Mus musculus: one gene and its partner. The protein of the gene in region 1 interacts with the protein of each later gene in a biochemical or structural test. Links are inferred from orthologs where the notes say so. Each region holds a gene or a part of one and is shown in the gene's direction. Other genes may lie near its edges. The genes, in order: Gabarap and Nbr1.

What was found.
Region 2: the proteins of Gabarap (region 1) and Nbr1 form a complex in vitro, tested with the Homo sapiens proteins (3 studies listed by BioGRID and IntAct). The link is inferred for Mus musculus from reciprocal best matches to the Homo sapiens genes GABARAP and NBR1.

The regions. Positions count from the first base shown.
Region 1 is NC_000077.6:69,989,972-69,994,279, forward strand, and holds the start of Gabarap (gamma-aminobutyric acid receptor-associated protein), read left to right. Parts: upstream 1-1,398; 5' UTR 1,399-1,741; coding exon 1,742-1,831; intron 1,832-2,393; coding exon 2,394-2,472; intron 2,473-2,610; coding exon 2,611-2,729; intron 2,730-4,308. Other genes in the region: Ctdnep1 (CTD nuclear envelope phosphatase 1), read left to right, coding at 6-66. UniProt on the Homo sapiens protein: Ubiquitin-like modifier that plays a role in intracellular transport of GABA(A) receptors and its interaction with the cytoskeleton.
Region 2 is NC_000077.6:101,555,367-101,559,176, forward strand, and holds part of Nbr1 (next to BRCA1 gene 1 protein), read left to right. Parts: intron 1-443; 5' UTR 444-509; intron 510-808; 5' UTR 809-823; coding exon 824-925; intron 926-3,810. UniProt on the Homo sapiens protein: Ubiquitin-binding autophagy adapter that participates in different processes including host defense or intracellular homeostasis.

The DNA.
Region 1 (4,308 bases):
TTCAGGTTCACTGCTGATGTCCGATCGGTGCTGAGCCGAAACCTTCACCAACATAGGCTCTGGTGACAGCTGCTCCCCCTCCACCTGAGTTGGGGTGGAGGGGAAAGGGAGGGAGAGTTCTTGGGACACCGTCTGTTGCCCTGTCCAATGTGAGGACTGCCTGGGCAGAGTCTGCCCCTCCCACCCCTCTGCCCTGGGAGCCCTACACTCCACTTATGGAGTCTGGATGGACACATGGGCCAGACCGTGAAGCAGCCTCACTCTGGGTTCACACTCCGTGGAAATGCCAGACTGGGACAGGCGAAGGCCTAGAGGAGCCGAAACAGTCTGGTGAAGAGGCAGGACTGGCCAGAGTGACAGACATATCCCAGAGGCTCAAAAGAAGCCAATTCAACTTTGTTGTGATTTGATTTTTTTAAAAACTCTTATACAAAACTGATCTAATTCTTCACTCCTGCTCCAAGGGCTGGGCTGTGGGTGGGGACTGGGGTTTCGGGCCACTGGATCCTCCTCAGACTTGTCCCCCCCTTACTTTTCCTCATTTTTTTTCTTTCCCCAATCCCCCATACCTGTAATCGGCTCCTTTCTTCTTTCCTCTTTTAAACCATGCATTATAACTTTGAAACCAAAGCTGCCCTAGACCCTTCTCTGATGTTTTTGGAAATGGAGGGAACTTTGTTGACATCTGCTCTGTCCTTGAAGCAGAGGGAGAAGATGCTGTTTGGAGTTGGGGGGAAGTGGGATTTAGCACAGGGATAAAGTAGTTTATGTTCAGTGTTCGGCAGGAAAGGCCCCACTGACTGGATGGAGTCCCTGATGGACAGTGGACCAACAACTTTAAAGTAGGATATAGAAGGCTAAAGAGGGAAAACTCTAGAACCCTGGAAGGGCATACAGCTGGAGAAAGGCTGGGCTTGTCTGGGAAGTTGACGTGGACAGGCTAAGAGGGCGCTGCCTACGAGGTGTTGGCACTCCAGCAGTAACCTGGGGCGGAACCCTCTTTCCTGGCACCTCCTCTCCAGAGCCGGGACTACTTTTCGCCACCCGCCACGTGATTCTCCGCCCTTTTCTGAGGTCACATGATTTTATCTACACTCAGAAATGTGTTCCTCCGCTCTGGTGTAGTCCTTATCTTTGGGGCTTTTGCAGTTTCTCTTGGTTCACATAAGCCTGAGCCTTGAGCATTCCCTGGGTGTCTGCAAACCTCTTTCCTTTCTGTCTTATGGTGTCCATATCCACAGCTTGGGTACTACTTTGTTTTGGTGTCAACGGCCACCTTCAGCGTAGAAACACGTCTCATGAAATCCTAGACTTGTAATTGTCTGCCTTTCCCCAACGTAATTTCCGAGAACTGCAGAACTAAATCTCATGACTGCCACTGGGTACCAGTTTCGTCCTCAACTTTGTACTGTGGGAAAGGGTTTTTCAGTTCACTCGAAACAACAGCAACCTTATCTGCGATGTCATATGTGTAACCCACAAGTTGATTCCAAAGCAGTTACGCTGAAGGCGTAAGAGGACCAGGCTACGGGTTGCGCTAGCAAGCTGAGCTAGTGGCGTATGTTAGCAGGCGGGGCCGGTCCGATGGTCGGGGGCGGGGTTGATGAATAGGGAAGTGGCGCAAATTCGTGGATCGCTCCGCCAAGTCTGTTCGTCGAAGCCGCCTCCGCCGCCGCCCCCTGTCCCGGCCCCCCCCCTGGGTTCCCTCAGCCCAGCTCGGTCCAGCCCGGTTCTCGGGAGAATGAAGTTCGTGTACAAAGAGGAGCATCCGTTCGAGAAGCGCCGCTCTGAGGGCGAGAAAATCCGAAAGAAATACCCAGACCGGGTCCCGGTAAGGACAGTAGCCAGGGCCCAGGCTAGCGTCGCTGACGCTGTCGCCACAGGCTATGCTTGAGTCTGGGAAAGCTGAAGTCAGGCTCTGTCTGTCGTGGGGTTAGAACTCTGTTGTCTCTGGTACCAGAGGTCTCTCACCTGAAGTAGAGCTGGGGACTAAGATGTGGACGGGAGAGAGAGATCAGGGTATTTCTCAGAATAGAGGCCTTAGTGAGCTTGACAACCCAGAGTTTCCATGGCCATCCTCCCAACTAGCTAGATTTAATGTAGATTTTTGACCCAAACAAGTCATCCTGTATTCTCTGGTGAAAATAGTTATTGTGATGCGCCGTTCTAGGATCAGTTCTCAATATTTAGGTAAGAGTGAGGCCAGGAGCTTTGGACCTAATGCTGTGTGCACCACGTATATAAGGATAACTAGAGAAATGAGATTCCAGTAGGTTTCAGTAAAAGGGAATATTGTATGTTGAGTTCTTCATCGATATAGCAGCATATATATGTGTATGTATGTATATATATATATATATATATTCATTTTTCTCATTCTTACCTTTTATCAGGTGATAGTGGAAAAAGCCCCCAAAGCTCGGATAGGAGACCTGGACAAAAAGAAATACCTGGTGCCTTCTGATCTTACAGGTGAGGGCTTGACCTGTGGTGCACGTTTCTTTCTGTGGGTGGGCCTGCCAACTCTGTGGGAGGAGGCTTCACCTGGCAGCTGTTCTCTGGAGGCGCCTACGACCTCTGTGACTTGCTTGCATCTCCTGTTTTTGGCAGTTGGTCAATTCTACTTCTTGATCCGGAAGCGAATTCATCTCCGTGCTGAAGATGCCTTGTTTTTCTTTGTCAACAATGTCATTCCACCCACCAGTGCCACGATGGGTCAGCTGTACCAGGTACAGTACCTTGGAAGGAACGGTAGTGTTTGGAGAGGAAAGTAAAGGCCAGCGGTCGCTGCTGGCTAACTTTAAAATGTCAGTACAGCCCTGCCGTGGGATCTTACTAGCGCTGAGAATAGGGAGGAGTATGAACTGGTGGAGTTGTTCTGACTGGGACTTACTACCTAAGTGAGTCTCTCCAAGAGTCCCAGATGTCAAAGAATAGATTGCGTTTGAGGAGTGGTGGTTGTTGTTGTTACTTTCTGTTCGTTTTCTTTAGGAGACAGGGCTTCTCTGTATAATCCTGGCTGTCCTGGAATCCCCTCTGTAGACCAGGTTGGCCTCTAAACTCCCAGAGACCCACTTGTTTCTGCCTCCCTAGGGCTGGGCTTAACAAAAGGTGTGCGCCACCACTGCCCTAAACTTGACACACAGACCAGGCTGACCTCAGACTCAGAGAGCTTCCTGCTTATGCCTCTTGAGTGCTGGTGTTAGAGTTGTTATAAGTCCTCATCCTGAATGGTGACACATACCTTTGATCCTTTAAATCCAAAGCACAGCTGTTTCTGCACACAGTTTTAATCCGATCATCCAGGAGTCAGAGGCTGGTGGGTCTCTTTTGAGTTTGAGTCTATCCTGATTAGTCAGAGATACTTAGTAGTGAGACCCTGTCTCAAAAAAAAAAATAATAAATAAATAAATAAAAATAAAAATAAAACAATCAAAAATAAAAATCCCCAAATTAAAAACCCTCAAAACCACTGAACGTGGGGCATGATCATGCACAGCTTCAGTCCCAGCACTGTGGAAGCAGAGGAAGGTAGAGGCCGAGGCAGCAGTATCAAGTTGGAAGTTGTTGACTACATAGTATAGTGAGTTTGAGGTCAGCCTCTTTTTTTTTTGTTTGTTTTTTGTTTTTTTGAGACAGGGTTTCTTTGTATAGCCCTGGCTGTCCTAGAACTCACTTTGTAGACCAGGCTGGCCTTGAACTCAGAAATCCGTCTGCCTCTGCCTCCCGAGTGCTGGGATTAAAGGCGTGTGCCACCACACCGGGCAGTGAGGTCAGCCTTTTTCTTTCTTTCTTTCTTTCTTTCTTTCTTTCTTTCTTTCTTTCTTTCTTTCTTTCTTTCTTTTTTTTTTTTTTTTTTTCAGAGACAGGGTTTCTCTGTAAAGCCCTGGCTGTCCTGGAACTCACTTTGTAGACCAGGCTGGCCTCGAACTCAGAAATCCACCTGCCTCTGCCTCCCAAGTGCTGGGATTAAAGGCTTGCGCTTCCAAGCCCAGCTTGTTTTTGTTTTTGTTTTTGTTTGTTTTGTTTTGTTTTGTTTTGTTTTGTTTTTTGAGACATAGTCTTTCTGTGTAGCCCTGGCTGTTCTGGAGCTCACTCTGTAGACCAGGCTGGTTTCTAACTCACAGAGTTCTGCCTGCCTCTGCCTCCAGAGCATTGGGATTGAAGGTGTGCACCACTACCACCCAGTCCAAGTCAGCCTTTCCTATAGGAGAGAGATAAAATAGGAATGATTGCTTTTCTTTTATTCCTTCTGTACTAGGGACCACGTTTAGTGCCTACTGTTGCTTACAGATGATCTGTATCTTC
Region 2 (3,810 bases), about 32 Mb from region 1:
TCCAAAAGGACTCAGCAAGTTCCTTTCTTTACTTTTATATACCTTTAAAATTCCCCATAAGTGATTGTAAGAGGTTCTGGTAGATTGTTGTTGTTGTTGCTGCTTTGTTTTGGTGTTGGTTTGTTTGCTTGCTTATTTTCTGGAGACTTAGTGTTCATTCTGTAACCCAGGCTATTCTTGACCTCCTTACCTAAAATTGGAAATTCCGTCTATTTGTACTCCCCAAGGCAGAGCCCTTGTCTGTGTTAATCCACCTTGCTGGATTACGCTACAGATGCTCAACTATCCAAGCACTGAAATAGGCAGTGAAAAATCTTAGAGACCTAAAACATGTGAAGGGGGTTTTTGTTGATGTGGATAAAATTTAAACTCGTTCAACAGCCGTTTACCCTCCCCACAGCCCACCTCTTTAATCCTAAAGATAGGATCTCATTGTTTCCTAGGCTGACCTAGAACTCTTGGACTTCCATTACCATCCTGCATCAACTTCTGAGTAACTGGGACTACAGGTGTGTGCCCAACTTGGCTTTTCTCTCTAACATAGAAGTTCTATATAAGTGGTAGCTATAACATAAGTGCAGATCTTTATAGCAGTATCTTGAGCATTAGTGTCTTTATTTTTGAGAAGGAAAAATCCTGTGTAACAGTGAGATTTGTAGAAAACACATTACTAGATAGTAATGTCATCATGGGGACATTGTCTGTCTTATTCACTATGATCTTCCAAGTCTAACTTATATATCAGAGCTGAAGCCTCCGGGTGGGTTTTTAATCCCTTCCTCTTCCTTTCATCTACCTGTCCTCTCAGCTCCAGCCAGACAGCATGGAACCACAGGTTACTCTAAATGTGACTTTTAAAAATGAAACTCAAAGCTTTCTGGTTTCGGATCCAGAAAATACAACCTGGGCTGATGTTGAAGCTATGGTAAGTACCGCTTTGTTCTGTTTCTCAGTGGGTTATACACAGATATTTTTCAAAATGTAGCTATTTTGAGCAGTTTATTTTATCCATTTCTGGACCTTTTGGAAAATCATTTTTTACAGGGATTTGGTATTAGTAGAGAATATGTACAAGGAAAAAGGAAGAAACAATTATGTTCCTTTAAACATCTTTAAAATTACATATATTAATTTTTTTGAGAGAGAGCAAAAATCTGGGACAATTTTGGGAGTTGGTTCTCTCTTGTATGAGGTAAAATGATATTTTCAGTGAATTAGGGTTTAGAGACATTCTGGGGATAAGTTAGGCTGTCCTTCCCTGCAGCCAGGCCGTAGTGGGTGTTGTCTGACTGGAGAGCAGGCGCACTGCTGTGTTTGTTACCTGACGAGGATGGGATTTGTGTTTTGCAAGACCGGTCAGTTGCTTTATCGCTGGGTCAAAGGTTGGATGTCTCAGAGCTGGCAGAAAGCAGCGCAGCTCCCATGGGTGCCCATGCAGCAGCTCCTCTGCTCCGTGCTTTGGTTTAGTGTCTTTCATCTTGCTTTGCCCTTTGTACTCTTCTGGTTTGTGGGTTGCCATGGTCAATGTTTTCCTACTTGGGCATCTGTGTTTAATGTAACCATTTTTGGTTACAAATATTTCTTTACCTGGTTTATCTATGTGGGTAACTTCAGCAGGAAGGACATTTTAGAAAGGGGCCTTCCAGTGTGTTACAGTCGTTCCCTGTCTTCCAGCAGTTTCTCTCCATCCTGCCCTAGGCAGGTGGCTATTGAGGAAGCAGTGGGGTCCTGTTAAATGATCTGAGCACCAGATTTCTTTCTTTCTCTAGCAGCTGTTGGGTGAGTTGGCAGCTTGCCCTTTTTTTTTTTTTTTTATTGGAACTTGTTTTGTTTTGTTTTGTTTTGTTTCGCTTGAGTAGCCCTGGCTGTCCTGGAACTCACTCTGTAGACCAGGCTGGCCTAGAACTCAGAAATCCACCTGCCTCTGCCTCCCAAGTGCTGAGATTAAAGGTGTGCATCACCTTGCCTGGCTGGAATTTTTTTTTTTTCTTTTTTTAAGATTTATTTTATGTATGTGAGTACACTGTCGCTGTCTTCAGACACACCAGAAGAGGGCATCAGATTTCATTGAAAATGATTGTTAGCCACCATGTGGTTGCTGGGAATTGAACTCAGGACCTCTGGAAGAGCAGTCAGTGCTCTTAACCACTGAGCCATCTCTCCAGCCCGGAAATTTTTAAATTATATCCTACATGTGCAGTTCACGTCTTCTTTAAATAGCCAGAGAAAACAGCCCGAGGAACTTCCCACATTTCCATGTTCATGCGGTTATCTGGTAGGGTCATACAGTCTTCTACATCTTGCTTTTCTTGCCCAACAGTATATTGTAGCTGTGGTTCCTCGTCAGTAGACACAGCAATCTTAGTCTTTTACAGCTGAGTCCACGGTGTTCTTAGTATTGCTGGACGATGTGGATAGGACCATTACTTACTGATTTCCCCACCAAGGTTTTCTTTCTTTTCCCATTATAAAATAGACAGGACCTACATCTCAGTATGAGTAACTTATGTGTGGTTCTATAGAGTAGAGTCTATCCAAAGGTTGTGTGTGTGTGTGTGTGTGTGTGTGTGTGTGTGTGTGTGTGTGTGTGAGAGAGAGACAGATAGGGACTGGAGAGATGGCCCAGTGATTAAGAACACTGGCAGCTCTTCCAGAGGACCCTGTTGGATTTCCAGCACCCAGGTGGCAGCTCACCGCTCGCTATCTGTAACTGCAGTCTCAGAACGTCAGCCATCCTCCTCTTTCCTTTGCAGGCAGCGCACTCATGTGATGCACAGGCATATGTGAAGGCAAACACTCAGATGCATCAAATGAAAAGCATTTTCATAGATAGTGCCAAGTGGTCCACAGAATAATTATAACAATGCACAGAAAAAATGACTCAATGCCTAGAAGGGTGTTCTGTTTTTTATTTTGTGGGGCCGGAGGTCAAATGTTGGACCTTCTACATGCTGGACAAACATTCTGCCACTAAGTTTTGTTCCTTGCCCTGAACCTTTGACAACACTGAATATTACAACTTCAAAAAATATTCATGACCAGGCGTGGTGCTGCACACCTCTAGTCCCAGTATTTAGGAGACAGAGGCAGGCTCTGTCTTAGACTCTGTGAGTCTAAGGCCAGCCTGATCTACAAAGTGAATTCCAAGTCAGCCAGAGCTGTTGAACAGAGAAACAGCCATGTCTCAAAAAAAAAAAAAATGTTCACATCTTAATAATGTGTCAGATGTGTCTCTGTTTACACTGTTTGGCTAGAGGTAAGGTTGAATATGTTTATATATTTATTAGGCATTCCTATTTCCTCTTCTGTATATTTTGTGCACATTTTTACTTGTATTACTCTGTAAGGTTTTTGTTCGTTTTTGTAAGTCTCTCTGGCTGTTCTGAAACTTACTCTGTAGTCCAGGCTGGCCTCACACACACACACAGACATCCACCTGCCTCAGCCTGCTGCATGCTGGGGATAAAAGCTTAAGGATGTGCACAGCTGCACTGGACACTGGATTATTCCTCCTGCTATCGGTTTTCATGAGTGTGTGTGTGTGTGTGTGTGTGTGTGTGTGTGTGTGTGTGTTTTACAAGTTTTACCCCTTTATCTGTTAACTCTTACAGATGTTTTCTCTTAGTCTGTTTTAAGTTATTTTTAAAAACTATATTAAGGTGTTATGTACGTTGGTGAAGGGCTCAGTTAGCATTTCCAAAGCTCTGCATTGAATCCCCAGCATCACAGAAAAAAATGAACATAAGGGGCTAGGGAGAGGGCTCCTTGGGTTAAGCCCTTGCCACACAGGTGTGAGCACCAGTGTTTGGA